Daphnia pulex: one gene and its partners. The protein of the gene in region 6 binds, or shares a complex with, the protein of the main gene of each other region. Links are inferred from orthologs where the notes say so. Each region holds a gene or a part of one and is shown on either strand. Other genes may lie near its edges.

Region 1 (4,156 bases), on a different chromosome or scaffold from region 6:
CACTTTGAAGACTGTTTAGACTTTGAAGAAGATTCGGAAGCAATGGCAAAAATTCTTGATAAAGGAGGTCATGACTACCTCCGCCGATGGATCGAAAAAGTGCCCGCAGCAGGAGGAAATAGTTGTAGGGCTCTTTAGCACTCAAAGCTAATTCCATAGATTTGTTGACAATGTGCGGTAGATGTGGCTTTAACATTTGTTCATTCTCCGCAGCAAACAAAGAAACGCTACCAAACACAAGTTTGAACAACTTCAAATAAAGATTAGAACGCTCCATGTTCAATCCCATTTCTTCCATGTGATTCAGCAAATATTCGACGAGGATGGTGGCGAAAACAGCGGAGGTGGAAGGGTTTGCAAGAAATGAATTTGCAACTACCTGCAAAGCGCTATTGCGGTAAATGCGCTCTACCACGTAGTCAATTGTTGTGGCAAATACTTCCTTGAAAGTCTGCGGATTCATCATGGCGAAAACACCAGCAAAATGTTCCAATACTTCTTTTTCTTCTTTAGAGCGAATAGTTTGTGCTGGAACAGTCGGCCGAGCAGCGGAAGCCCCACCGACCGGAAAGCCAACGACGGTGCTATTAAGACTGCCAGAGGTCTCCGCTCCGACCGCACTCGGAATATTTAAGGCGTACACATCAAGTGCTTTCATCGCCCACTGCACCAAACGGATGAATATCACCGTTTCTTTAGGTTGCAAATTCTTGCCTGTAGTAGCAACACTAGTCGTAGTATCGAGTGGAGTTTTGCAGGCCGCACATCCCCAGGTGATGGTTTTCACACCGCACACAAGCGTTTTAACTAAGCTTCGACATTCAGTGATGCTGAAGACAGGTCCCGCAACTCGAACAGCAAACTTCATCGTTTTCTCTTTTTCATCTAGAAGAACTAAAGATGACCGAGTATCTTCCGGTTTCGTTTCATTCGCAGATGACGGTGAAGATGACGGTGGTGCAGCTCCATTCTGTGACCAACTTAACGAAGGAGAAGAAGGAGGCTCAGTACTAGGGGTTGCATTTGTTCCACTGTTGTCTTGCTTGTTCTTTGTCCCAGCTAAAATAGGCAACTGTAATTTCACGATGCTTTTGAATTTTAAAACAAAAACTTCAAGCATTTCTATCAGCAACTCTCTTCCAGGTCCATTTTCAACATCTGAACGTTGTCGTATGCACTCCACCAAATTCAGCAATAACTTGCAAGACATAGTCTGAATGCTTGTTGGAAGCGATTCGTCATGAACGTTTTTTGAGAATAGATGAACTGCACGAGCAAGGTCAAGCATTGGAAGGTGTTGTCGAACATGATGAACGAGGTCAGCTAACGTACTATAGGCTAAAGGTCTTAAAGATTCATTAGTTGTCCAACCTTTGCCAAACAGTAAATTTTCGTCAAATAAGCGCTCCATGAATGGAATGAAATGAAGACGGAGGTCAGTTGCCAGGATGTGCCTTGATGCTATCAGCAATTCTTTCCTCAAATGAGCAACTTCCATGGGGCACAGACTTAAGAGTCCCAGTATACCCTTAACCATTAGAGTAGCTTGTTGAGCAACAGCTTCTTGATAAATGCGAATGATGTAGGCCAGGAAAGATAGCGTTTTGATTTGGGCTCCAATGAAGTCTACAAAAATTTCTTTGTTAAATGCAGGATTTGCCTTGTGCTGGGCTGATGGCTGAAGGGTAATTGTAGTCATGATGAGAGGTATAAACTCTGCTACATCTTGATGAACATTATGCTTGTAAAGTTGATACATTAGGACCACAATTATTGGGAGTTCCTGCAAAACTTTCAACGACAACACTCCTTTTGGTATCAAATTATATGATATGTTGTTTCCATCAGGAGTTCGTGTTTCTGTGAGAACAACAGTGGCAGTAAATGTTTCAGCAAGTACTGCTTCAATGTTTAATTCACTTAAATCTTTAACTTTGATGGGGCTCCTTGGTTCAAATATCTTGTTTAGTTGATTCGGTAGGTCACGGTAGATGCCTTTGACAAATTGTAGAAAAGTTTGGATCTCCACACTATATTGGGGACGGTACTGTTTGTGAAGTTCAATTATGATTCGAAGACATATCAGCACATTATCTTCATTTTCTCTCTCAAGTAATCTGAACATGAGGTTAAGTGATTGTTTCACATATGGCCTTAAGTGTTCATTGGTGGGAAGACGATGAAACATTTCCAAAATCAATTTTCGGACTTGCTGAATGTTGTACTCTGCAATGAAGAGTGGTTCACTGTCTTGCAGTATCTTGAGAAAATTTTTCATAGCATGATCCAAGAATGCTGGATACTGTGGGGAACTGACAATGACTTCCAAATTTTCACTTAGCTCTTGGGCTGCTTTTAGTTTGTTCTCATCCTTTGCCCCAGGATCGGAGAGCATTGAAACAAAAGAGGTAAAAGTATTCATTTGGGCCACAACATCCAACCCAGGTACCGCATTAGAAGGCCCCATTTTATCTAAATGAATGAACAACATTGAAAAATTGTTCAAAAAAAAATGAAAAAGCTCAGACTCCTCACCTGTAGTTGACGAAGTCGTGTGGTAACGTCAATTCAAATGTAGCGTCTCAGGTAGGGTTCAAAAACAATTTATATAGGCTACTCAAGATTGACATTGTTTAAAGAAGGTATTATAGATAATGACAAGCTAGAAAACAGCTAACATCATTAAGCAGATTTATGAACGGATTGAATAAAATTCAGAATAAACGCCTGTACGCTTCACCACAGAGCCAGACTGCTTCATTTACTATTTAAAACTTAAAAGTTGACTAAAGAATCATGCTTATTGCTGAAATGAAAAACAGGCCGCAACACATGAAAATCATTCACTCATCGAGAACAAACGAGTCATGTAGCACCATCTGTTGGGTGAAATAAAAATACGGAAATGGACAGAAAATGGAGCCATCTGTGAGTAAAAGCAATTCAAGAGTCAGTTTGTAATTTTGTTAGCGTACATTTAGTTACACTTTACAAAACAGAAAGGAACTAATTCTTTACTGCATAACAGAGCTAATTGATCGAATAAAATATTCGTAAAAAAATTAGTCTGATGTTTTTAATTTACGATTTAATGGATTCAACATAAGCGTAACTATCTCGAAGCAGATCCCAAAACAGTCGCAAAGTCAAAGAAATGTGTTTATTACTTTATTTTGTATTTCAGACATACATGAAATGAATAAACGAAATCAAACGGGAGGTGGAATTGGAACAAATCCAGTTGATGGTGGTGGCGGCGGCGGCGCCCAGGAAGGCGGGGGCGGCGGAATCGGAGCTAACCTAAAATATGAATGTTGATTCTATATAGTAAATATTCATATGAATCTAATCACTATTATATTTACGGAAGAAAATTCGAAGATGGAGGTGGTGGAGGTGGAGGAGCCCAGGTGGGTGGTGGAGGAGGAGGTGGAGGCATCGCCATTGTAAGTCCTTGCAACGGAGGTGGGGGAGGTGGAGGCAATCCTGACATTCCCATGTTGCTCATTTGCGGAGGAATAGGAGGGGCATCGGCAAAAAGTTGATGAGGCCGATCTGTCTGAGCAAGAGGATTTTGTGCTGCCAGAAGCCTTTCTGCTGCTGATCCATGGCGTTCACCCTTAGAATCCTTCTTGAAGGCATATGATATAGTAATTGGCCTATTACATAAATATTGGCCATTCATGGCTTCAATGGCAGCATCAGATGCATCAAAACTGGCAAAGTTGATGAATGCAAAGCCTTTTGAATTCCCTGTTGTAGGATCCCTCATGATCTGCATTCAAAAAAACAAAATAGTAAAATTTAAAACCCCAACAATGATTTCAAATTTACCTTTGGTGTCTGAAGAATTACGCCAAATGCTGAAAATGTGTCATACTAAAAAAGCAATAATAGATTAAATTGTGTTTTGAACCTAAAGGAATGCTGATTGGTTACCAAAAGTTTTTCATCAACTTCAGGATCTAAGTTTCCAATGAAAATATTTGCTCCAACATCTAAGTTTTTCTGGTGTGCTGATGCTTTGTTTACCCGAATGGGTTTACCATACAGCTTTATCATGTTCATAATTTTACATGCGTAGTCAGCATCATCTTCACTGAGGAATTCTATGAATCCGTATCCTTGATGCAGTAAAGTAATCCGATCTTTAGGC
Region 2 (3,984 bases), on a different chromosome or scaffold from region 6:
AAAAAATCAGGTGATCTTTTATCTGATCAAACAAAAAAGGTTTATCATGCAAATTATATTAATATACTCAAAATTATTCGTAAAATTTAACTAATCTATCAAAACTAAAATGAAATGAATATTGGAAATTCGTTTAAAAAAAAACAGTTGAACTTTATTCAAAAAAGACACATATTTTTTCAACACAAAATTGCTGTTTTCACTCGACAGACAGAAAACCGGCTTTCGTAAAATAATTTACAATCATAGACTGCTCGTCAGCAGCCAGGCCGGGTAGGAGCGGAGTCTTGTCGGTCCCACTCTGAGAAAAAGATTTGTATTTTATTTCAAGTGAATAAATCAAGAGAGTGAATGATTCGACTTACCAATATGAGATTGGCCTTCAATGACGTATAGTACAATGGTCTCAAACGTAGATTTTGGCAAATCTGAGATTTAAAGGAAAACAATTATTGGATAAAACTTTAAAAATAATAATTATAATAATCGTTTCACTGACTTGCTTTTCAGCAGGACTGAGCAGTTCTGAACCGGGACATAAAGTGAGATCGTCGCTCTTGGCGAGGAAATTAGCAACTGCCTCCTGCCATTCTGACTGTGAAAGTCGGGTATTAGCGGAGAGTACGGGCCCGAGTCGAGGCAGACTGCTTGAAACGCTGAGGACGCTGCTGTTGTTGTTGCTGCCGAAGGAGGTGACTTTTGCGTCTCGAAAGCTTGAAAGTAGCACTTCTTCCCTTGCGTTGCTGCGAAAAAAAAAAAAAAAACAAAAAAAACAAGTTACATACATAAGCCACGAATTTACTTAACAATTCTAAGAACTAAGAAATATAGTTGAGATTTCGTAATATAATGCAAAGCTATCACAGGTAACTGATGAGTTAAACTGCACATAGTATGTAAAAAAGGGGAAATAATAAAGCTTACTCTGACTTGTGTAGTGTCCCAGGGTTTTGTACAATCGGCCCCGGTCCACTGCTTCCCTACGTTAAAGTCTATTGTTCAATTTCCAGTCTTTTTTGGGTTCTAATTTAACTAGCTTGTAAGATACTTAAAATAAAGACACATAAGTAAAAAAATAAAATCGAATATTCAACCAATGGACACCACCAATAATGATTCATTTCAACGAAGTATTAACAGGTAAATAAACCAGTCGCACACTCTTACTATCGCTTGACGAAACTATGCAAGCAATAGTACAGACTGGGAAAATTGCTTACGGATTTCCGGCGCTGGCGCTCCAACCGGGCTTCTTTCTTTCTTTCACGGAAGTATCGCAGTCGTTCATATTCAGTACATTCCTCATGTCGAGTTAATCCATTCCTACGGTATTTGATTAGTTCTCGAATCCGCAATCGCAAAGCTCTCTCTTTAGTTAGATTGCGTAAGAATTGCTCATGCTCAGGTGCCGTGTGGAATTGGGAAAACGAACGAAATTTTTCTTGCGTTTCTCTGTACAAGGAAAAAAATGTAACTGTTTGTAATGAATCTATAGTTAACTAATTGAAACATGAATTACTTTTCCTTTTGGGACTCCCTTTTTTTTGCGGCAGTCGTAGGTTTTTCCTTCTCTTTCTTGATAGCGTTAAAAAATTGGGATACCAGTTGAAAATCCCGAGCAACCCGCTTCCTTCGGGCTCTTTCCCTCAGGCGGCGAGTATACATATCGACTTGAGCCAGTTTTAGAGCCAAATCAATATCCTCGTCGTCATGATTAATGGCAAGATGAGAAACAATTGCCTCAGCTTCATTGTCATGTTCCTACAAAAAATAAAAATAATGTTGAAGTTTTTAAGACAATTTGTTTCATGACAAATTAAGACCCACCCTTTCAAAATCATCTCTTTGAGGCATGTATCCAAGTTCTAATGTTTCTTCAGGTTGAATAGCTAAAGGTGGTAGTCGTGATGTGATGGATGGAGATAGAGGTGCATTATCTGGACAAGTGTGATCAATTGCTGCCAAGCGAGACTCTCCACTTGCGAGAAGTCCATTTGGAAGCCCTTGCCATGTTAGTTTACCTATTGTTCCTGTGACAAATCTATCACAGTACTGTTCTTTGCATTCTGTAAAAAAAACATAATTGGAGAGTAACTGATGATAAAATCCTGATAAAAATCAACAATTACTTTCTGAATCCCGTGTTTCTACATGTTTCGCAACATCTTCCCAATTTCCATAACCAAACTGTTCTATTGCATCAAGTAACTGATAGTCTTCCCTTGCAATCCAGCCACCTTCATCCTCCCTTTGTTGGTCAGGAAAAATACTAAAAGTACCAGGATCCTAGAAATTAAAAATAAAGTATTTATTGAGAGTTTGATAGAAAAACTTAAATACTCACTATTAATCTATATCCATGACTACTTTTATGTGGTCCAATTTCACAGCCAAGAGAGAAACACTAGAAAGAAACATTGCAAAACTGTGTTATTAAAATAATTCAAATTCGCCGCCGACCAACCGGCAATACCACTCCGGTGGGCGTCATAACAAACAACAAAGAAGGAAGGGGAGGGATTCATTCAACGAAGATTTTATACCACACCTGTAAACAAAGTTCGTAATCGACACAAACGTTACATCGGATTCGAATGCCAAGGATGTCGTCCTGACAGTAGCCACATCGATGCTTCATAAATAAATCTGAGGAATGGATACAGAAAGAAAGATTTTCAATTTTCGAAAATAAGGATTCAACGAGAGCATTTTTTTTTACCCGCCATCTTTAGCCTTCCCTTCCCATCAAGAACAACTAAGCTATGCCAACGCTAGCGAAAGCATTGGTCGCGCCCTCTGGTGACTGAGAAGTGAGAAGTCTTTAAAAAATAATTAAAATGACGTGTAAAATTTATAAACAATGTACACCGTACATTTTATTAAATTAAATTTTTTTTAATGTATAACGAGACGTGTTTGGTAAATAGAAATAATTCAACGTATTATATATCACCAATTGGCAACTAGTTCGTGTCGGCTTTTTCAGCTCCAATGCGGTAGTGGTCTGCAAAAAAAGTCACGCAAAATGGCTCTCAATCTGACTGTCAAGTTGCATCCTGTTGTATTATTTCAGATTATTGACTCTTATGAGCGTCGTAATCCTGATGCACAGAGAGTAATTGGAACGTTGCTTGGTAACATACAATTTAGATCATCCGTTTGCTTTCGCGTTTTATTGTTTTTTCGACTGTTGACACGTGTATCGGTATCGAGTACCTGACAAAATCTTTGGATTATATACCTAAATTCCTATAATATGCGAAATCGAAGTTGTGATAACTCATTTTTCATATTGATTTTTTCCAGGCACATCAGATAAAAATGGTGTGGAAGTGACCAATTGCTTTTGTGTGCCTCACAATGAATCAGAAGAAGAAGTGGCTGTGGAATTGGACTTTGCCAAGGATATGTATGACTTGCATCGTAAAGTTAATCCCCAAGAAAGCATTGTAGGTTGGTGGGCAACTGGTACTGGAGTCACATCTCACTCTGCTCTTATTCATGAGTACTACTCCAGAGAGTCCTCCAATCCTGTTCACATTACAGTGGACACCACATTGCAAGATACCCGTATGGGAATCAAAGCTTATGTCAGGTACATGCTATTAATTCAGTATGATACAATTGCTTTGAAAAATAATTATCTTTAAATTATCATCTAGTGTCCCAATGGGTATCACAGGCAAAACTATGGGATGCATGTTTGCTCCTGTTTCTGTTGAGATAGCATGCTATGACCCAGAAACTATTGGATGTAATTATAATAGAAAATGTGTATGTATACTGGGAATTAATCTTTGATTGTTTTTCAGTAAATGCCTGCCAGAAAACCAAAACCTCGGTTAAACGTCAAGCGGGCATCGCTTCGGATCTTACTCAGATTGTTGAAGCCTCGCAGCAGATGGAAAACATGCTGGACACTATCTTGGCTTATGTTGACGACGTAATGAGTGGCTCCAAAACGGCTGACAACACGTTTGGTCG
Region 3 (3,154 bases), on a different chromosome or scaffold from region 6:
GGAAAAAGTTGGGAATGAAGTCATTGATTCATTCCGGGAAAAAACAAACAAACAAATCAAACTTTCAAGAGCATCAACCTGCGAATGGCGGCGATAGTCTCACGATTCTTGAACTTGCTAAAGCGCTGAGTGTAATTAAGCGTCTTCATAAAGACTTCCGACAGTTCCTGCTCGTCCTCTGCGCTTTCATTCTGTAATTTACGATGGTCCAGCAACATGTGGACTTCAGATATCAGCAATGTTTCCGCATTCTCGAACTCTGTAATGATGTGGAATGGAGACAGAAGAATGAAACCGCATTAAGGGATGGTTCACTGTGCAAACTACTAAACTAGTGCCCACTCGTTTGTCGACTCTTTTTCTTTCTTTTCCTGCTGATCTAAGAAAACAAACCTGCATGAGCTTCCCATGACTACAAGCCCACACATCTATATATCTATATATATATATATATAACAGGTAATTCGAGATGATTTCAACACGCTAAAACGACATGAGGCTTGACTGTATAACGCAAGTTTATTGCTCATCTCCTCTTCCCCTCTCTCTCTCAGTCTCTCTGCCCCCTGTACAAAACATTATTATAACAAGTGGTGCCATAAATCAAGCGGGGAAGTAGATTAGTTTCTCTTCTAGGAGGAAATCAAAGATCTTGCGCGTCTTGTTCACATCAATCTTGATCAACGTCCTGGCCTGAGCCAGCCGAATGCCTTTGCGGTTGCGGCACTCGGCGATGAGAATGTTTCGAAATTCCATGTACGACTCGGGAACGAGACGTGAAACGGAGCACAACTGACGTTCGCCTTCGTTCAATTTGTCGTAACCGGGCAGACCGACAATGTCCAGCGGCGGTGCGCTCCTTCGCTGCTGTGGGAAAGGGCCAGCCGGGCTGACTAGAACGTTGCCGTTGCTTCCTTGAAGCAGGGCTGAGGTCACCAACTGTTGGTGCTGCTGCTGGACGGGGAACGCCACGTGAAGGTTGGCCGAAAACTGCTTCCACTGCTTCATGTGCTTCTCACGACGAGCCTGAAGCTGCGTGTAGATTTTGGCCGACGCCAGAGTCTTGATCCCCAAGTGGCGGTACCTTTGCAGCTGCTGGATTCGCTGCCGCAACTCGACATGTCCGTGCAAGCCTTCAAAGAGACTGCAGTGGTCTTGAAATTTGAACACCTGGGAAAACACCGAGAGACGCTCACAAATGCGATGTGTCAGCGTAGAGTCGTAGCGATAACGAGCCGCCAAATGACGATGAAAATTGATCAACCCGTGTTCCTGGACGATACGTTTCTTTCGAAATCTCTCGCGCAACTTGTCGTTGTACACTTGCACCACGGCCACGGCCAATGCACGTTCGAGTTCTAAAGCCTCTTGGTCGATTTCTTCGTCGGGATCGGGTTTCGTTTCATCCTGTAACGACGCCACGTCAAATTCTGCATTCTGGAAGGCTTCCACTTGGAAATCTCCTCGAGCAGCACAGTAACCGGCCATGTCTCTGTGGTAAACTGATCCAGGAACAGGCCTAGGGGGGTCGTGAGTTCCGGTTCTGTAGACGATAGGCTGAGGCCTGTACAGTCTCTCTGGACTTTTCGGTCTTGGTAGAGGTTCCACTGGGTCTTCAAGGTACCACTTGTTATAGTGGTTTGCACATTCTTCAGGACTGGCTTTGGAGCGTTTGGCAACCTCCGTCCAATTTGATGGCCCATGCGTAGACAACTGATCCAGCAAAGTGAGTTCTTCCCGAGCAGTCCAGTTGTCAAAGAGGTAGAAATCATCTCGTATGACCCTGTAGCTGTGATTGTTCAAATGGTGATTGCTTTCCTTTCCCTTGGCAAAGCACGTTGGGCACAAGTCCACTCTGACACACTCCTCGCACCTGATGTAAACTCCAGTCAGAGGGGTCTGACAAATGAAACACACTCGAGTCTGGGAACAATCTGTCGCCGGCCACACATTTCCACATGGTTCATCAGTCGACATTTCTAAGAAATTCGTTGCAAATGAATTAAACGTTCACGAAACGTGCAGTTCTTAGCCAGGTCTAGCCTAACAGCAATTAACTGTAATAACTGTAAATCCCTTTATGAAAACATATCAAGCCTAACACAGGGAAGCTCAAAACCGTAAACTGGGTAGGAAATTATAGTTCTTTTTACCTTTTGGGAACTGCAAAACAGCGGCATCTTCGTCACTGATCTCTGTGGCGGCCGCCATTTTCAAATGATATTAGAGTAAAGTGTAACGACGTTGCCAGACTTGCTGTTGTGATTTTCGTTGAAAATTTCATTTTTCGAAAAATATTCATTTGGCAATTTTGTACCAGTTTTTCCCAGCCGGATTTGACCTAGACTATCAGACAAAAATCAAAACGAATAAATTAATACTAATTGGAGTCCCAAAAACGTTACACAAATCATTGTGCAAAAGAGTGTGGCCTAGTGCCCTAGTCCACGTTTGTTGGATTTCTCTTCATTTCCAGGAAGTTGTTTTTAAAACATAATTTTTTCGCTCAAAACCGCACACAAGTCTGAGCACGAACAAGGCGCTAGAGATTTCGTAATCTCCAACATCCGGCAGTCCTGCACGGCACCACCTCGGCGAATCATCGGAATGGTTAATGCCAGCCAAATGAATAAAACAGATGGCAGCGAGCGATGCAGCACAACCAACCAGCCAGCCTGAATGATTATATACGAATATTTAAGAACACGGGGGCCTGCATGGTTCATAATTAAAAGGTTTTCTACCGACTCCCGCCATCAATAAGTGTTGGCTCAGGAACGTAATAATTGATTAAGAGCGGAATAGACAAAAATGCCGGGCAAAAAGATGGGCGTACAGGAAATATGAAGGAGAAAGTAGGATTATTAATTGATTAGAGTAGGCAACGAAGAATTCCCTATATTACACAATGTAATACGTCGTACATGATTAATGACAGAGAGAACTACGTTCCAAGTTATTTTCAAGAAGATGAGGAAGACTGCCGGATTATTCTTGCATAAAGACGTCGAAGTAAAACTTAAGGGAGAGAAAAGGAGCAAACGACGATGAAATAAAATACGAAGGATTATTGTAGTCGGAATACTTTTATAATAGAAGAAAAGGCCCTTCCGCATAAACTTTCACTCCGACCCCCCCTCTCCCCAAAAATGCA
Region 4 (3,367 bases), about 2.4 Mb from region 6:
TTAGTTCGAGCAGATGTAATGTGAACTAAAACACTTTACTTTTAAAAATTAATTAACTGTCCATTTTGTGGTTGTGAGACTACTACATAATTCATAAAATCTGTGTTCTAATTCTTTTTCTTATTCATAGGGCGACAAAACTCAGATTACTCGCTATTGGGTTGGTAAATATCTTCTTGCTGGATGGCTGGTTTTGGGAATTACCTACAATCTGAAGTACAACTCTCATGTAAGTATTTGCCTCTAATAGTGGACAGCACCCAAAATACTACATTTTAACTTTTAGGACTGGACTCGCAAGAAAGGATTTGCAATTTTCGGCTCCAGACCCGCAGTTTACCCAGGAGATCCGAACTTCCCTAAAGTTTCCGATAAAATGAAGCCTTCTGACTACGCCGACTACGGATTCAAAAACTCCCCCATTTAGATTCTATTTCATGTTTCATACGTGGTTGGAAGAAGTAGTGAAAAACACAAATCCTGCTGTACAGAAGAGAGAATAGAAAAAAGGGTCAAATGTATTTGAAATCATTTCTTTTTCTCTTTGATAGCTATGACATATCGTTGCGCCACCATCAAAGGCGGACTGAATCCTTCAGTATAGCTAGAATCTTCAAAAAGAACTTGGTATTCATCTTGAGCTGTTTGGGGTAATTGATTGATTACCGCTTTGTAAAAACAGGTCGTTTGTGGATACAAAGCCATGACTAAAAACAAATGTTTAGTATGTTAATAATATGCTAACGTCGGATCAGCTAAAATTTGCGATTTTTTTGTTTTGTTTTTACCAGTGGCTCCTTTTGAGAACAAAGCATCGGGATCGGTTTCAGGATTAGCTCGCATCAAAGGAAGAGGAATTACTCTGCGTTTGCTTAAAGTGTGTCGCTCTTTCTGTTCCTCGTCAATATCATCCACTTCATAGCGCCCAGAAGAAGCTAAATATTGAACGACTTCTGCCAAAATCCAATTCTCATCGCCGTCTGTACTCTTTACCAAAGCCGCAACAATATCTCCCAGCTGACATACATATAAGGTGTTTCGGTTAGTCAATTAACAGTTTATGACATTCGAATAATGTAATACTTTGGCAACGTAAGTTGGGTCAGCTGGAACTGCTCCACATAATGCTGGTGGCTGTTGTCCTGACTTACTGATCCACAGCGGGAGAGTTTGAGCAGTAACGAGAAGCATTTTCATGAGAGCACCTCTTCTTATAGTTTCCTTACTGCCAGCTTGTTTTGCCTGAACAAGAATGTTAGTACAATGTTAGGTGAAATTTTCTAAGTTTACGTTCTTGGGAATAACCTGAATTCTCCTTTCATGTCTGATAACGCGAATTTCATAGATTTTGCTTAATGCCTTACGAATAAGGTCCTCTTCTTTTTCAGCATCAGCCACCACAGAGCAATACAGTCCTTTTAATTTAGACTGATAATTTTATAGGCATTCATTAGTGCTGATTAATTAGTGATATGGGAATAGAAATACCTTGTGATATGGAGAAATTTTGTCATCTGACTGAAGTTTTTCATGAGCTTTGATAACAGCATTTAAGTTACCTTCATTACGAACTTTCTCTTCTTGAATCTGCTTGACCAACTTGTAGATCCCCTTCAATCGTTCCTGCACCCCAATCCAAATTAGAACTAAGTAAATACCTTAACAACTGATTATATCAACCTTACTTGGACTTGCTGTGTGGCAGAATCTAATGACAAAGCCATGATGTATATGTTTAATAACAACTACCTCTCCTAAATGATGAGCTCAAACCAGCAATGATGACTGGAATCCAAGCAAAAGCCACCAAGAAAACCAAGAACTAAAGAAAATTAAATTCTGAAATTTACATATCTTTTATGCACAGAAAAATAACCTTACTAAATTAATGAAGATGAGTTTAAAAACAGTCATCGGAAATCAGCCTTCCAAACAATAAATTGAAAATCGTAACATCGGCAGTTGCTTTGTCGTCACCATGGCAACTATGGCATCAACTGTATTAGTTCCATTCGTCATTAGCAGATGGCATGAGCATGCTCAAATTGTATAACCATGGCAATAATTTCTAAATCAGGCCTTTTTTTCGAGTGGTTTTATTATATAGCCTTTGATCATTTTCAACTCTCAAATTATTTAGTTATTTTGTAGTCAGTTATTTTAATATTTTGCACATCCCTGTAAAAATGTATCGGCATTGTGTGGTAACTTTTTGGTGATGACTGACGATAACTATTCCACCAAGAAAGCTCACCTGTTAATTTTTCGATAATTTTTTTTATCTACTAAATGTATTTCACGGAGATGACGAATATTTCGTTTATTTTCCGTCCCATTCTAGTCGTCCGTGGATGCTCAGGGCTGTCACTAGGTGGCTAAATATTTCAGCGTGTTTAGGGATTGAACTATTCAGCTCTAGTGTGTTTGTTTCTAGAGGGGTGTAGGGGGATGGGTCATCAAACTGTCAAAGTCCTGAGACGACTGACAGAACAGTCTTTCTTTTGCTGTCGAGACGCTGTCCGAGAAGGTAAAATTTAGTCATTGCTGGTACTTTCTTACGTGACATTGTTGATCATAGACATGGTAATTCCATTTTTTATTCTTTAATTTTATAAAATTTAATTTTGTGTGTGGTTCAAAACGTGTAACATTGTCTTCAATTCATAATTGGTAATCGCATGTGGCCTGCTGTACATTCCCACAATGTCGTCTCTTGCTGAATGTTGCACGTTTCGTTCCATGCAGAACAGTAAAAAGTAATTATTGCTTAACTTTTTAATTCAAGACTTTGTTTCTGAATTAAAATTGTGTGACTTTGTTTCAAAAAGTAATTTAAATTTTTCTATTAACTGTTGAGCAGTAAAGCCTGAGCTTCATTACGTTTTGTTTTGCAAATTGTTTCAATTTCCAGTTGAATTATGCCAAGAGCTTTCACAGACATGCACTTAACTTGTTAGAACACTCGAGTGGGTTAGAATTTGCCTATATTTTAGTCTACTTTAAAAGTGTGTGCTACACATGTGATTTTTGTCAGGAATCAGGTCAGACATTGAATTCTCGATTTAGATGACATTTTACAACAACTATATGTTTCTAATTAAGAGCTTTTGTGAAAAGATTTGCTCAATAGAATTGTATTTTTTAAATATAAAACAGAAATTAACCCTTTCTTGTATTTGAAAATGTAATTGGTTCATTGTTTTCCTTTGAACTTGATTTACAGGATTTCTTGGTTAGTTTGATGTTGGAGCTGCCAATGGTGTTGATGCAGCGTTCATGGTGTGAGCAGTGGTTTTGCAGTCATTTTCCAGTCGAGATGTCTTGAGGGCGCGTTTTCGCAATGGAGCTTGTCAAAATGGAATTTTCG
Region 5 (2,625 bases), on a different chromosome or scaffold from region 6:
TCGTCCAGTTTATTTGCTCTACTTTTAAGATATGGTCTAACAATGTTTTTGCAATTTTACAGAAAGCAAGATTGCTTAGTCGAAAAAAGAAATAATGTTTGGAATTTCACTTTTGCCTTTTCATATTTATATATAACTTCTTTTTCCACCACGACACACGTACTTTTGTCCAATACCACTATGATAAAGTTGAATTTCTCGTAATCTCGTAACACTTAGATGTCGATCAAAGGCTTGGTTTGTCCATGTTATTTATCCTCTCAAACCTTATTATACTGATATAAAGTCGATTTGCGGCTTGTCGAATTGTTAAGCATTCAAAATGAAAAATAACTTGTTAATTATGCAATAAGTCATGCAGTTAAATTCTTTCCAAATATGAGGTATCTGAGTAGTATAAATAATGCTTCAAGTACAAAAGTAAAGAATGTTAGGATGGTACTGATAAATAATAATTAAGACAACAGTAGAAATATTTCAAATACACTTCATTAAGCTCATTCTAGAAATCAAATTTTGTATGTATTGAATCAAATTTCACAAACAATCTTCTAAGAGTATTCTCCATCTTCTGAATTTGATGGAACATCTCCCTGTTGTTGCTGCAAGGACATTTGAGCCTCTGCTTGAAGTTGTAGCCACTGTTGCTGCTCAGCAGCAGCTTGTTCTTCTCTGGCTTTGGCAAATAATTCCTGCTGTCTATATTTTAAAAAATATGTATTAGACTAATTAAATCATAAAAAAGTGATAAAACTTACTGTCTCAATAGCTCTTCTTCTGGAATTCCCAAGTTTTCCAACCTTGTACTTTGGCGCCTCCTTTTGGCAGCAACAGCTTTACAATCTTTCAACACTGCTTCAGCATCAGTACGGTAGTCATTGAATCCAAGCCTATCTAATGCTACAACCATGTGTGTTAGATTATTTTTCCTTTCCATTACTTTACAACATTTGTAACAATTACCTCCAAGTATATGCTCTGCATTAATAGTCTTTTTCTGTTGCTGAGTACAAATTTCATTAGCCTCTGAAGCCAAAAGGTGTATGAACTCAGAACAACAGTTAAGAATCAATTCTCTAGCTTCATTGGCAACTCGGACACTGGGAACAATCTCTTTAATCATTTTGTTCATAGCAGCTCTCGGAATGGTCAATTCTTCTTCTGGCACAGCTTCTGCCATCTTTAAAGCCTGTATATCAGAAAAAAAACCTACTGTCCACAAACAGAAAACTTTATGAAGAGCAAAGGCTTTGTCAGCCAATACTAGAAGGAAACCGTAATATTGAAAAACAAATTTATGACTCATTATATACCAGAAAATTATATACGTAGAATTAAAAGAACAGCACACACGGTAAGAGTATGATCCTAAATTCTTTCAAAGTTTTCACTAATAATTAACTTTTCTCTCGTGCAGAAGAATGCATAAACAAAGCAATACAACAAACTACACCAAACACACTAGATAAGAAACTAAAATGAATCGCTAAAATAACCTTTTTTTATGCGCCTCTACCAATCGTATACAGGTACTAGGTTGGGAATGTCCAGAACCTTATCCATCTGGTGGCTGCGACTAGTACTTCGTATCCGACTGATAGAATATATCAGCTTGCACCATTATCAGCTTGCACCATTAGTTAGGCAATCCAAATTCATTATCATTATAGGCATTACGAAACAAAAACTAAAAAAGACCATTGTTTTTTCCCCGCATAATTCAGAATCAGGTCATTTTTGGTTGTAAAATTGCTGTCATCCCCCTGTGATTTCCACGCAAACCTTGAAATGATTGTCATTTTTATACTACAATTTCTACTTCATCGTCGGTCCGCGAGGAATTAGAGGAAAAGTCATTGACAAAACCAAGAATACGCCTAGGTCGACCACGGCACCACGCAAGGAAAAGAAAAATTCCGGGTAAAATATCTAAACTTCATTCGTGTTGCTTATAGCAACTCGATCTATTGAAGGTTGTTGACAAGCAGTGTTATTGTGCGTGTTAGCTTTGTTTTTTAAATTCGAAATTCAGAGACCGAGTGTGATTCTATTTGCGCTGTTTGTAAGCAGAGCTATAGATGACAGCGTGTATGGCAGAGCTATACATCTATAACTCTGTTGTAAGCATAAAAGGCTAGATATTTTAATTTAAACCTGAAGTCCTTAATGAATAGGATATTTGTCGTTTGTAGTTTGAATATGTTTTTTGATTTTTTAAATGAAAACAAAATCACAAAAGCCCTTTGCTTGCTAACGGAGATCAACAACTGAGAAGTTAGAAAGAATTCGGGTAATTTTCTGAACTTCGTAAAAGGGCAACGTCGCTTCCCATTCCTCACGGAAGTTCGTCTGCACTGTGCAAGTCTGCAGACTGCATTGCAGATTGGTGAGTTGGTGACGATGACATCATCTGCATATTTTTTCAAAGTTTCAATCATGGAATTGTTCGATTGTAGTGACTAGTACGCAATAATGAGTCCGTTCACTCTAAAGTTTGTTTATATTTCTCGATTGTCTAACTTATGTTACCCACGGGTGTCCCGTTGCACCGTGGACCTTGGAATGTGGATTGTGGTCGGTGAGAAATTGACGGTGGTAAAGAAACTATTGCCTGGGGGACCGTAA
Region 6 (3,894 bases):
GCCCCACCAGTGTGGCAACTACTAGGTAACCTCACCAATAACAAACCGTCAAGCATTTACAAAATCACTGGCTTGAAGAAGAATCCGGGAAGTTATAGCCCTAGTATGTTTGGGGTGCACCAGGGGGAAATACATCATCATGCTCAAATAGGGATTTCAATTGAGCCTCTTAGCCTCATTTCCAATCAATCTCCTAGTGCCATTACAGAGCCTAGTAGCACCACAACATTCCAGGAGTTTGCTGAACGTACTCTTCAAAATCTTTTCAATTATGCAGCAAGTTTTGCTGTTACTCAATCACAAATGACACCAAATCCATCAGAAAGTTTCATCCCAATGTCTGTTTTAAGAAACTGGTACACTAACTTTATTAGAAAACTAGAATTGAATCCTCAGTTTTGGAGAAGTTGAAAGAATTCTTATTAAATTCTTATCAACTTCAAGTAACCTCAACTTTTCATTGTTGAATACATGCTAATTGATTTAAGTAATAAACAAGGCTTGTTAAAAGTTTATATTGTTATGCAAAGTTCAATTAACCATCTTAGTTCATCTTCATCACACACGTCTTGTATTGTTTGAAAAAATATTTACATACTAGTCGTTCCCGTGTCCAGCTGTTTGACAATCGCTTCACGATCACGAAGTATTTTCCACATCTGATCTTTTTCTTTTTTGCTTAACGGGCGTTTTTTTTGTTTAGCGGCAGCCATTTTACGATATACGTCTAATACCTATTCAAAAGAAGTTGGGAATAATGTAGACGAGCTCGATAAGCAGAGATGACACTTGAAAAATGAATACCTCAGCGTCCGCTGCAATCAATTTTTTCCGTATTTCCTGACGTTTCATTTCTTCTTGACTGAGGCGGTACAGTCGTTTCAGTTGTTTCAAGTTGTGCAGTGATATGGCCCTCAATTCTCCTTGGCATCGACGTAACTCCGTCAATATTTCATCATCGGCCTTAATCAGGGGGTTAATAATACTACCTCTGAAATGTGTTTTGAATGAATAAATTACCGAATTAACGTTGGCTTCTTCGGAAGTTAAAATGCCTTGTTCTTCTAACTCTTGACGAATACGACGTTCAAGTGCAGCAGCTTGAGGTCCATTCATTGCTGCCTTCGTGCCAGTAGATTTCGCGTTTTCGTCTGTTACAGTAATTTCGAACCGCTAGTTGGCATTAGTTTTAAACAGGAAAACAATGAACAATATACCTTGCCCTTCTGATTCCATTGTGTCCTGCACAGAAGTTACAATATTTTCTTCTAAAAGAGCTGAAATGAGACGCTGGGTCATGGGTCCGCACATCCCCGTCGCAGATGTAGTATTTGTTTCAGCACTGAGTTATTAAATCTATCGTTAAGCAATATGCGGCTATTAGAAAAAAAAATATTAATTTTTTACTTGTTTTTAGCTGCTGTGTCCATTAATCTTTGAGCCTCTTCCGTTCCTACAGAAGATCCAGAGGTAATCTTCTTTTTCTCGCCGAAACGAGAGCCCTCTCTTTGCTCCTGAAGTAAATCATCTTCTGCCCACCGAAGTGTATAGTGGCGACCGAGAGGAGGAATTTTGAGGTATTCTTCATCCTCATTATGAGTTGAGATTAGTTCTTCTACTAGCTTTAGTTAAAACATCAATTACCACAAGAAAAAAAATTTAATTCCAAGTTATGTTAATCTTATACAAATCATTTTACCTTTAAATCATCATCTGTAAAAAGAGCACAGTATGGTTCTACAGAAGCCCAAAATTTGTTTGGTGTATCATTTTTGGCAGTTGATGTCTTCATTAATTCTAAAGGAGGCATTTCCTCAACAACTCCTTCTGGTGGGATAGGCTTCTATAAAATCAAAGAGATCATTACTTGACTGTAAATAAAACTACTTTTCATGAAACTAGGTACAGCTAGAGCAGATTTAATTTTCATCTGCTTTAAAAGTGGAGGTGTGTGTGCATCTCTAAGCTTTCCTGGTTGATCTTTGAACTTTTTAGGTGAACGCTCTTCTTGTTTTGATCGTTTTCCAGGAGATGGAGGCTAAAAAAAAACACATAGTGTTGTTGGCAAACAGAAAATAGACACAAGATGAAAAAAAAACTTTGATGAATACCTTTTCAGTCATTCCTGCAATTTCTCTCTGTAAATTTAAGGAACGCAAAACAACACAATTGAGTAGTGTTTCTAGTTCCATTTGTAAGGTGTCCAAATCATCCATCATAACACCCCCTTCTTCTGATCTAGCCGTAACTATAAACAATTGATTATATTTATATCTTTGTTAATTAGAAAACCAACAGAAAAACAAAAAAAATTAGTTCTTACTGGATGTGAAACGAGGTAAAACCTTTCCATAGTCGACAGCTCGGACATCAGCTAGAGTAACTTCTTCATCTGAGTCCTCAGGTTCTGAAACTCTTTCCCTTTTGACTTTAGTGGCTGACGTTGAACCTTTGACATTTGTAGCTCCTTTTCCTTTGGAGATATTACCTTTACCCGGAACCATTTTTCGGCCCAAATTTTAAATTTGACAAGACAATTCACGTACGAATGTACGATTTACGTTGTTTACTTGTCAAAAAAGCTTGGACTAGAATCGATACCTAACTTTCAAACTTTCGATTCGATATTTCGATTTACAACGTAAGAGAGAAAATGAGACTGGGTATTCGTCAAACGATAGCAGCGCCTCCTTGAATGGTTTAATGAAAACTTTGGATAACTTAAACCGTTTAAGTCGAAAGAGAAAAGACAATCAAAGTCTAATATATTTTTTTAAATTACTTGTTAAAAATATTTGAACGCAGTTTTCGAAATAATAAAATCAGGGAAATTGCAACTCAAAGTTTTAGACTTGATTTTCAAATTTTTCAAATTTTCATGTATTTCTTTAATGAATGCAGAATGCTTAATATAAATTTGTATGATATTTTATCGATTTCATTTAACTACAAATTCCATAGGCCAATGTATTTATTTAATTTAGTTGGTGTTTCACTATATTATTATGTGGCCGTTATGTCTGAAACAGCGCTAGTTTCAGGGCTGTAAAATTCCCTCGTCTGCGGGTCTCCAGTCTTCTTTTCTCTGGTGTTTTCAGTTTATTCCAATATGGCTACCGAGTGAAAAGGCAACGAGTTTTTGTGACACTAACATTATCTACGTTTCATGACAGTTTATTGTCTGTTTGAAATTAAAGTTTGAATCTGCGGCCTATCAGAGAGGAATTCCAGACCGAACTTCGTGAAGTGCAATTTATTTTTTCTACAAATAGCTGTGGAAACCTTGTTTTTCTTCATATTGTGATATGTGTGGGCTACACCATCTGTGTCACTTGCTTTGAAGAACCCAAAGGGGGGTCGAGTGCGTGTGGGGACATCCTTCGTTTTCAATAATTATTGAAGAATCCTGAGTTTCCTTGAAACAGCCATTTTTCAGTGACATTTTAGACACAATTTTCCAGTTCGCTCCTACTGCTTTGTGTGTACTGCAGCTATCCGTTCATTTCAAGGTAAGGAGACCGCTGTGTTGCACAATCATAAAAGTTCTGGATGGTGAAACATGACACCTTCATAATCAAAGCATGTTCTCAAAATTCCTCTCTTCGTTTCATAATTAGCACAGGTTTTTTTATACCATCCTGCCTAGTAAACCTTGAGTAATCTTGTGTGACATGCAGCAGTCTGACCCTAATTTATCCAAACAGTAGCATTCGTATGAGAGGCAGATATCAGGTGGTAAAATTTGATAGTGAGTTCATTTGGAAGTGAATTGTTTCTTTTTGCGACGATTGCAAATGGGTGGGGGGTTGCACAGCTGTACATGCGTTGGCGGGGTTGAAATAGGGCATGGGGGAATCTGTAGCTCAGGTATTGATCACGTCAGGAGGGAGGAAA
Region 7 (4,186 bases), on a different chromosome or scaffold from region 6:
ACTCGGAAAAAACCAGGTCGATTATCTTCTATTTATACAGCGGTCTCGAGGTTCACTAGGCACGTTTACGAAAAATACGTAGCCAACTCGACAGAATTTGGTTTTTCCCGACTTGACAACAACAAAATGGATCTGTGGAAATAAGAGACAAAGTTATATGTATTTTAATTCTTATTATTATTTTTTAAAAATTGGTGTGAATCGAGGGATTAGCCTTCAAACATGCCGGCAGCGAGTAGCAAATTCCTCCGCGTGAAATGCAATGACATGACAGGAGTGGCTTTGGTCGGGTAACGTGCCAGGCGGAGCGATTCAATGGCGTTACTCCGCTTGAGAAGGTCTGGATTGTGACCCGAGATGTTGACGTCCTCTAAAGAGGACTCATCCGTCATCCGGAAGAAATCCCACAGTTGGATGGAGCCGTCCAGGGAAGACGTGGCGAACACGGTCCCGTCTCGACTGAAGGCCAAACTGGAGATTGTCATCGTGTGCCCAGGCAGGTCGGCCAATAAGTGACCGTGAGCCAGATCCCATAACAGGACTTTTTGATCAGCTCCACCGGATGCCAGAAAACGGCCGTCGGTGGAGAAACACAACGCCGAGACGGTTCCCTACACAAACAAAAAACTTGTAAAGAAAAACAAACTCATAAAAAGGATGAAAATGTTTTTACTTTATGACCAGTCATTAGCCGGACACAGTTGCCAGTTACGCAATCCCATAAACGGACGCTCCTATCGCTGGAACCTGTGGCGACGTAATTGGAATTGGGATGGAATTGGACCACGTCAACGTCTGAATAATGGCCGGCAAAGATCCTTAAAGGCTGGTGATGATCGGTGGCCCAAAGTCTGGCAGTCCGATCATGTCCGACTGATGAGAAATAGTAGCCGTGAGGGGAAAACCTCACGTCCCACACGGGGTAAATGTGGCCTTTATAGACCACCAGGCAGGTCCACGTCTGCAAACTCCACAGCCGGATCGTGGCGTCTTCCGACGATGATAAGAGTAACGTCCGGTCGTGACTGAACGAGGCAGCGTAAACCGGCCCGCAATGGCCGTGAAGGACTTTCATAGTCTCACCCGTCTTGTCGTCCATCATACGAACGAGAACATCTTCGGCCTCCTTGTCGATATCGGCCAATTGCTCGGCCGGTTTCATGGCCCGGAGTTTCTGGGGTACAAGACTCCAAACTTTGAGGATGGAATCGGAAAACCCTACGGCTAATAGTGACGAATCCTCGCAGAATTCGACGCACGTGACCCTGTCATTCACAAAAAGGGAAAAAGAAAAAAAATTATAATTTCAAATTGAATGGAAAAAATCAGGTAAATTAGAATAACTGACGTTTCCGCGCAATTCAGCATCGTGTAGAAACAAATGGACGGCAAATTGTCTGGACCAAGAGCCACCCTCTTGCTGGCTTCTCGTAGGGCCCTGACCTTCTCCAGTTTGTCGATATCTCTCCTGAAACAGAAACTCACAGCTCAACCATTTTCCTTTTTTTCCACACCATTTTTCACTGCATCTGCATCTTACAAATCTGGTAATGGCAATCGGCTGGCCGGTGGAGCATTAGGGTCGCTCTTGGCTTTCTTGTTGAGCAACGGATCCTTTTTGGGTTTCTTCTTTTTGGGCTTTTCACCACCTTCGCCGGGTTCTCCGTCCTCTTCCTCCTCGACTACCGGAAGCTGGATATCGGGCTCTTTGAGCAGACCATAGTAGATTTTGGTCTTGTTTACTGTAAGTGAAAAGAATTGGTAATTGTTTTGGGGATTTCTTTCTAATCTCTTGATTTGTGTACCTTGTCTGTTGGCCTCGCCTTCCATGGCTCCGGCTGTGGATTCAACTTGGGCTTTATTTCTCGGCACTCCTTCGTACATGTCGACGTACAAGTGTTCCTGAATGACGTTCATGACAATTGATTGGTTCTTGTCCTGCAAAAACCGCTTCAAAACCGAGTAAGTATCCCGGGACATTCGAACGGTGAACTGACTTGATCTGTTTAACAATTTAAGTTTTTATGATTGACGATTTTATTTAAAAAAAAAGTGATTTGTTACTTGAAATTCTCCATGAGATCACTGCCTTTCATGTGTTCTTTTTTGGTAATAAAAGAAACTTTTTTAAGATCATCCTGATAATAATCTTCCTGATCTGTTGAAAAACGTTCCATAAATTTAGCGGCTTCTGATTCATGTTGGTTGTAAATCATTTCCAAATACATGTGGACAAATAAAGGGTACAATACTAGGGACAGCTCATGCTGAAAAGTAAACAAATTGAAATTATTATTTGAAATTGAGTTGAATATCTTTTGACCATACTTTATAAACATCCAGCGAGCTTTCCACAAATCTCCTGTAACTTAGGTAAGCTTTTTCGTAGGCATTTGGGTCTCCTTCGCTCTTGTATGATGAGAGCAAATTTGTTGCCTCTGAATCCACTTGAAGAGCTTGTGCATCTCGTAATTGATCCTCCTTGAGCCGTGCTTCTTTTTTCAAAATATCAGCCGTCCCCTAATACATTGTAAATAAATGAGACGCCGAAATTTAAAAATAATCATGTCATTTTCAGTTACTTTCAGGTTGTGCTTCTGAAGAAACTGTAATACGGCCGCAAGGGTATTGGAGTCGACATTTTCTGGTTCTACAGGTTGAACTGCACTGTTTTCACTTGGAACTTCACTGTTTTGACTTTCAGATGCTTCAATTTTCGCGTTTGAATTACTTGTTTGAGATATCTGATTCATATCGAACTCCATTTTTCCTTTTTTTTTTCGTTGTAAACAACCCCGACAGCGGGTTTGCATTGTGCCAGTTATCAAATTTATTTACTAAAATATTAATTAAAACAATACTTTACCCATAATAAAATTGCTAATTTTTCTAGCATCAAATTAATATAGGTTTTAATATGTTTTACGATATAATATTTCAACTATTTTTAAAGAAAGGAGTGGAAACGGAAATAGGCAATGTAGGAGACCATCAGGCACTGGCTCTCTCACTCTTCTCTGCAGTCTTTCCTAGGTAAGTTCATTCTTGGTTTTACTGAGTTAACAAAATCCAATATCATCCAACAATTGCCTCGTTTTCAACATCTCTAACCGACTGTTTCGTTTTCCTTGTTTCATTTAGAGACCGACTGCATCATGAGAGCTAAGGTAATTATCGTTTTTCTACCTATTCTATGTGTTTCATGTATCGGTGTACTGTGATGCTTGTCTCGAGGCTTGTGAATCTAATGGCCGGCTCTTTCTTTCTTTAGTGGCGTAAGAAGCGTATGCGTAGGCTTAAGCGTAAGCGCAGGAAGATGCGTGCTCGCTCCAAGTAAATCCATTCTCAACCACTCGCAGTCACATGGAAGCAAATGGCAGTCTGATTCTTAGGTAAGTTCACTAGTTTTAATGACGCCGTGTAAATTGTCTCTAACTGTTCTGTTCTTTCACTAGGTAATTCTGGGTCAGCTGTCATCCAGAACCAGAAAACTAATTACCACCACGAGTTCCCACTTGGACAAAAGCTGCTGAAATTTGGCTGTAAAAAAAATTACCTCTTGTGAAATGTCATTCGTATTTGTACCATGTGCATCAATATAGATTCGCCTTTTCACAAGAATATCCAAATTTTTCTCGTTATTTCTCCACTCATTTCAACTTCCAAAGTGCAAAGGCTTATCAGTATCAGTAAAGCCAATTAAAGAAAGAATGAAATGAAATCAACGGGCAAGGCAAGAAATGTACATTTCCTGATATAGCAGCGTTACTTACACGATATCCAAGTTAGGACATTATTCGAAAGATATTGGGAGGGCCACGATCATGATCAAGGAGAGAAAAAGCTAAATAGGTATATAGAGAAGAAATGTGTGGAACACCTACATTGATTTGTATATAAAAAAAAAAAAAGGTAATCAAGGTTTCACAAAGCTTGATATACAAAAGTTTTGAAGGGCGGGGGGGAGGTTCGAGTATACACAAAAGAAACGGGGGGAAGAAATTCTACACACGAGAAAAAAGAACCATCACACAAGTTTGTTTGAAGTAAAAACGTGGGGGGAAAAAAGGTGTGTGTTATGTAAAAACCAAAATAGAAAAAAAACATGGTTGATGATGGTCGGGAGATTTAATAATACAGAGTCAGGCCATTATTTTTTGTAAACCCTTGCCTTGTTTTCTTTTCC

The links.
Region 1: transcriptional adapter 3-B-like (region 6) and transformation/transcription domain-associated protein-like share a complex: the UniProt entries of both Homo sapiens proteins name them as parts of the TFTC-HAT complex. The link is inferred for Daphnia pulex from reciprocal best matches to the Homo sapiens genes TADA3 and TRRAP.
Region 2: transcriptional adapter 3-B-like (region 6) and transcriptional adapter 2-beta-like share a complex: the UniProt entries of both Homo sapiens proteins name them as parts of the TFTC-HAT complex. The link is inferred for Daphnia pulex from reciprocal best matches to the Homo sapiens genes TADA3 and TADA2B.
Region 3: transcriptional adapter 3-B-like (region 6) and transcriptional adapter 2-alpha-like share a complex: the UniProt entries of both Homo sapiens proteins name them as parts of the ADA2A-containing complex. The link is inferred for Daphnia pulex from reciprocal best matches to the Homo sapiens genes TADA3 and TADA2A.
Region 4: transcriptional adapter 3-B-like (region 6) and SAGA-associated factor 29-like share a complex: the UniProt entries of both Homo sapiens proteins name them as parts of the ADA2A-containing complex. The link is inferred for Daphnia pulex from reciprocal best matches to the Homo sapiens genes TADA3 and SGF29.
Region 5: transcriptional adapter 3-B-like (region 6) and protein Dr1-like share a complex: the UniProt entries of both Homo sapiens proteins name them as parts of the ADA2A-containing complex. The link is inferred for Daphnia pulex from reciprocal best matches to the Homo sapiens genes TADA3 and DR1.
Region 7: transcriptional adapter 3-B-like (region 6) and transcription initiation factor TFIID subunit 5-like share a complex: the UniProt entries of both Homo sapiens proteins name them as parts of the TFTC-HAT complex. The link is inferred for Daphnia pulex from reciprocal best matches to the Homo sapiens genes TADA3 and TAF5.

What each region holds. Positions count from the first base shown.
Region 1 is NC_060018.1:6,526,831-6,530,986, forward strand, and holds the start of transformation/transcription domain-associated protein-like, read right to left. Parts: upstream 2,801-4,156; 5' UTR 2,536-2,800; intron 2,473-2,535; 5' UTR 2,468-2,472; coding exon 1-2,467. Other genes in the region: splicing factor 3B subunit 4-like, read right to left, coding at 3,210-3,300, 3,366-3,775, 3,835-3,879, 3,940-4,156. UniProt on the Homo sapiens protein: Adapter protein, which is found in various multiprotein chromatin complexes with histone acetyltransferase activity (HAT), which gives a specific tag for epigenetic transcription activation.
Region 2 is NC_060026.1:11,481,078-11,485,061, reverse strand, and holds transcriptional adapter 2-beta-like, read right to left. Parts: upstream 2,801-3,984; 5' UTR 2,727-2,800; coding exon 2,720-2,726; intron 2,647-2,719; coding exon 2,549-2,646; intron 2,405-2,548; coding exon 2,345-2,404; intron 2,287-2,344; coding exon 2,130-2,286; intron 2,067-2,129; coding exon 1,828-2,066; intron 1,762-1,827; coding exon 1,520-1,761; intron 1,453-1,519; coding exon 1,221-1,452; intron 981-1,220; coding exon 925-980; intron 744-924; coding exon 500-743; intron 429-499; coding exon 366-428; intron 302-365; coding exon 200-301; 3' UTR 138-199; downstream 1-137. Other genes in the region: eukaryotic translation initiation factor 3 subunit F-like, read left to right, coding at 3,026-3,134, 3,307-3,595, 3,663-3,754, 3,813-3,984. UniProt on the Homo sapiens protein: Coactivates PAX5-dependent transcription together with either SMARCA4 or GCN5L2.
Region 3 is NC_060028.1:9,042,162-9,045,315, forward strand, and holds the end of transcriptional adapter 2-alpha-like, read right to left. Parts: intron 2,347-3,154; exon of another isoform or gene 2,342-2,346; 5' UTR 2,212-2,341; coding exon 2,154-2,211; intron 1,980-2,153; coding exon 604-1,979; 3' UTR 501-603; downstream 1-500. UniProt on the Homo sapiens protein: Component of the ATAC complex, a complex with histone acetyltransferase activity on histones H3 and H4. Required for the function of some acidic activation domains, which activate transcription from a distant site. Binds double-stranded DNA.
Region 4 is NC_060019.1:9,072,457-9,075,823, reverse strand, and holds SAGA-associated factor 29-like, read right to left. Parts: upstream 2,002-3,367; 5' UTR 1,882-2,001; intron 1,823-1,881; 5' UTR 1,725-1,822; coding exon 1,686-1,724; intron 1,624-1,685; coding exon 1,489-1,623; intron 1,429-1,488; coding exon 1,306-1,428; intron 1,243-1,305; coding exon 1,084-1,242; intron 1,018-1,083; coding exon 789-1,017; intron 708-788; coding exon 529-707; 3' UTR 501-528; downstream 1-500. Other genes in the region: uncharacterized protein LOC124191408, read left to right, coding at 131-229, 287-427. UniProt on the Homo sapiens protein: Chromatin reader component of some histone acetyltransferase (HAT) SAGA-type complexes like the TFTC-HAT, ATAC or STAGA complexes.
Region 5 is NC_060021.1:11,079,441-11,082,065, forward strand, and holds protein Dr1-like, read right to left. Parts: upstream 1,473-2,625; 5' UTR 1,314-1,472; intron 1,231-1,313; exon of another isoform or gene 1,190-1,230; 5' UTR 1,181-1,189; coding exon 964-1,180; exon of another isoform or gene 901-963; coding exon 759-900; exon of another isoform or gene 700-758; coding exon 552-699; 3' UTR 501-551; downstream 1-500. Other genes in the region: uncharacterized protein LOC124194693, read left to right, coding at 63-95. UniProt on the Homo sapiens protein: The association of the DR1/DRAP1 heterodimer with TBP results in a functional repression of both activated and basal transcription of class II genes.
Region 6 is NC_060019.1:11,487,531-11,491,424, forward strand, and holds transcriptional adapter 3-B-like, read right to left. Parts: upstream 2,657-3,894; 5' UTR 2,505-2,656; coding exon 2,324-2,504; intron 2,249-2,323; coding exon 2,112-2,248; intron 2,039-2,111; coding exon 1,907-2,038; intron 1,844-1,906; coding exon 1,700-1,843; intron 1,623-1,699; coding exon 1,408-1,622; intron 1,343-1,407; coding exon 1,218-1,342; intron 1,152-1,217; coding exon 1,021-1,151; intron 964-1,020; coding exon 805-963; intron 735-804; coding exon 591-734; 3' UTR 501-590; downstream 1-500. Other genes in the region: protein OPI10 homolog, read left to right, coding at 1-411. UniProt on the Homo sapiens protein: Functions as a component of the PCAF complex. The PCAF complex is capable of efficiently acetylating histones in a nucleosomal context. The PCAF complex could be considered as the human version of the yeast SAGA complex.
Region 7 is NC_060026.1:1,543,986-1,548,171, reverse strand, and holds transcription initiation factor TFIID subunit 5-like, read right to left. Parts: upstream 2,801-4,186; 5' UTR 2,766-2,800; coding exon 2,583-2,765; intron 2,521-2,582; coding exon 2,329-2,520; intron 2,268-2,328; coding exon 2,065-2,267; intron 2,003-2,064; coding exon 1,806-2,002; intron 1,743-1,805; coding exon 1,541-1,742; intron 1,469-1,540; coding exon 1,349-1,468; intron 1,266-1,348; coding exon 674-1,265; intron 612-673; coding exon 210-611; 3' UTR 142-209; downstream 1-141. UniProt on the Homo sapiens protein: The TFIID basal transcription factor complex plays a major role in the initiation of RNA polymerase II (Pol II)-dependent transcription.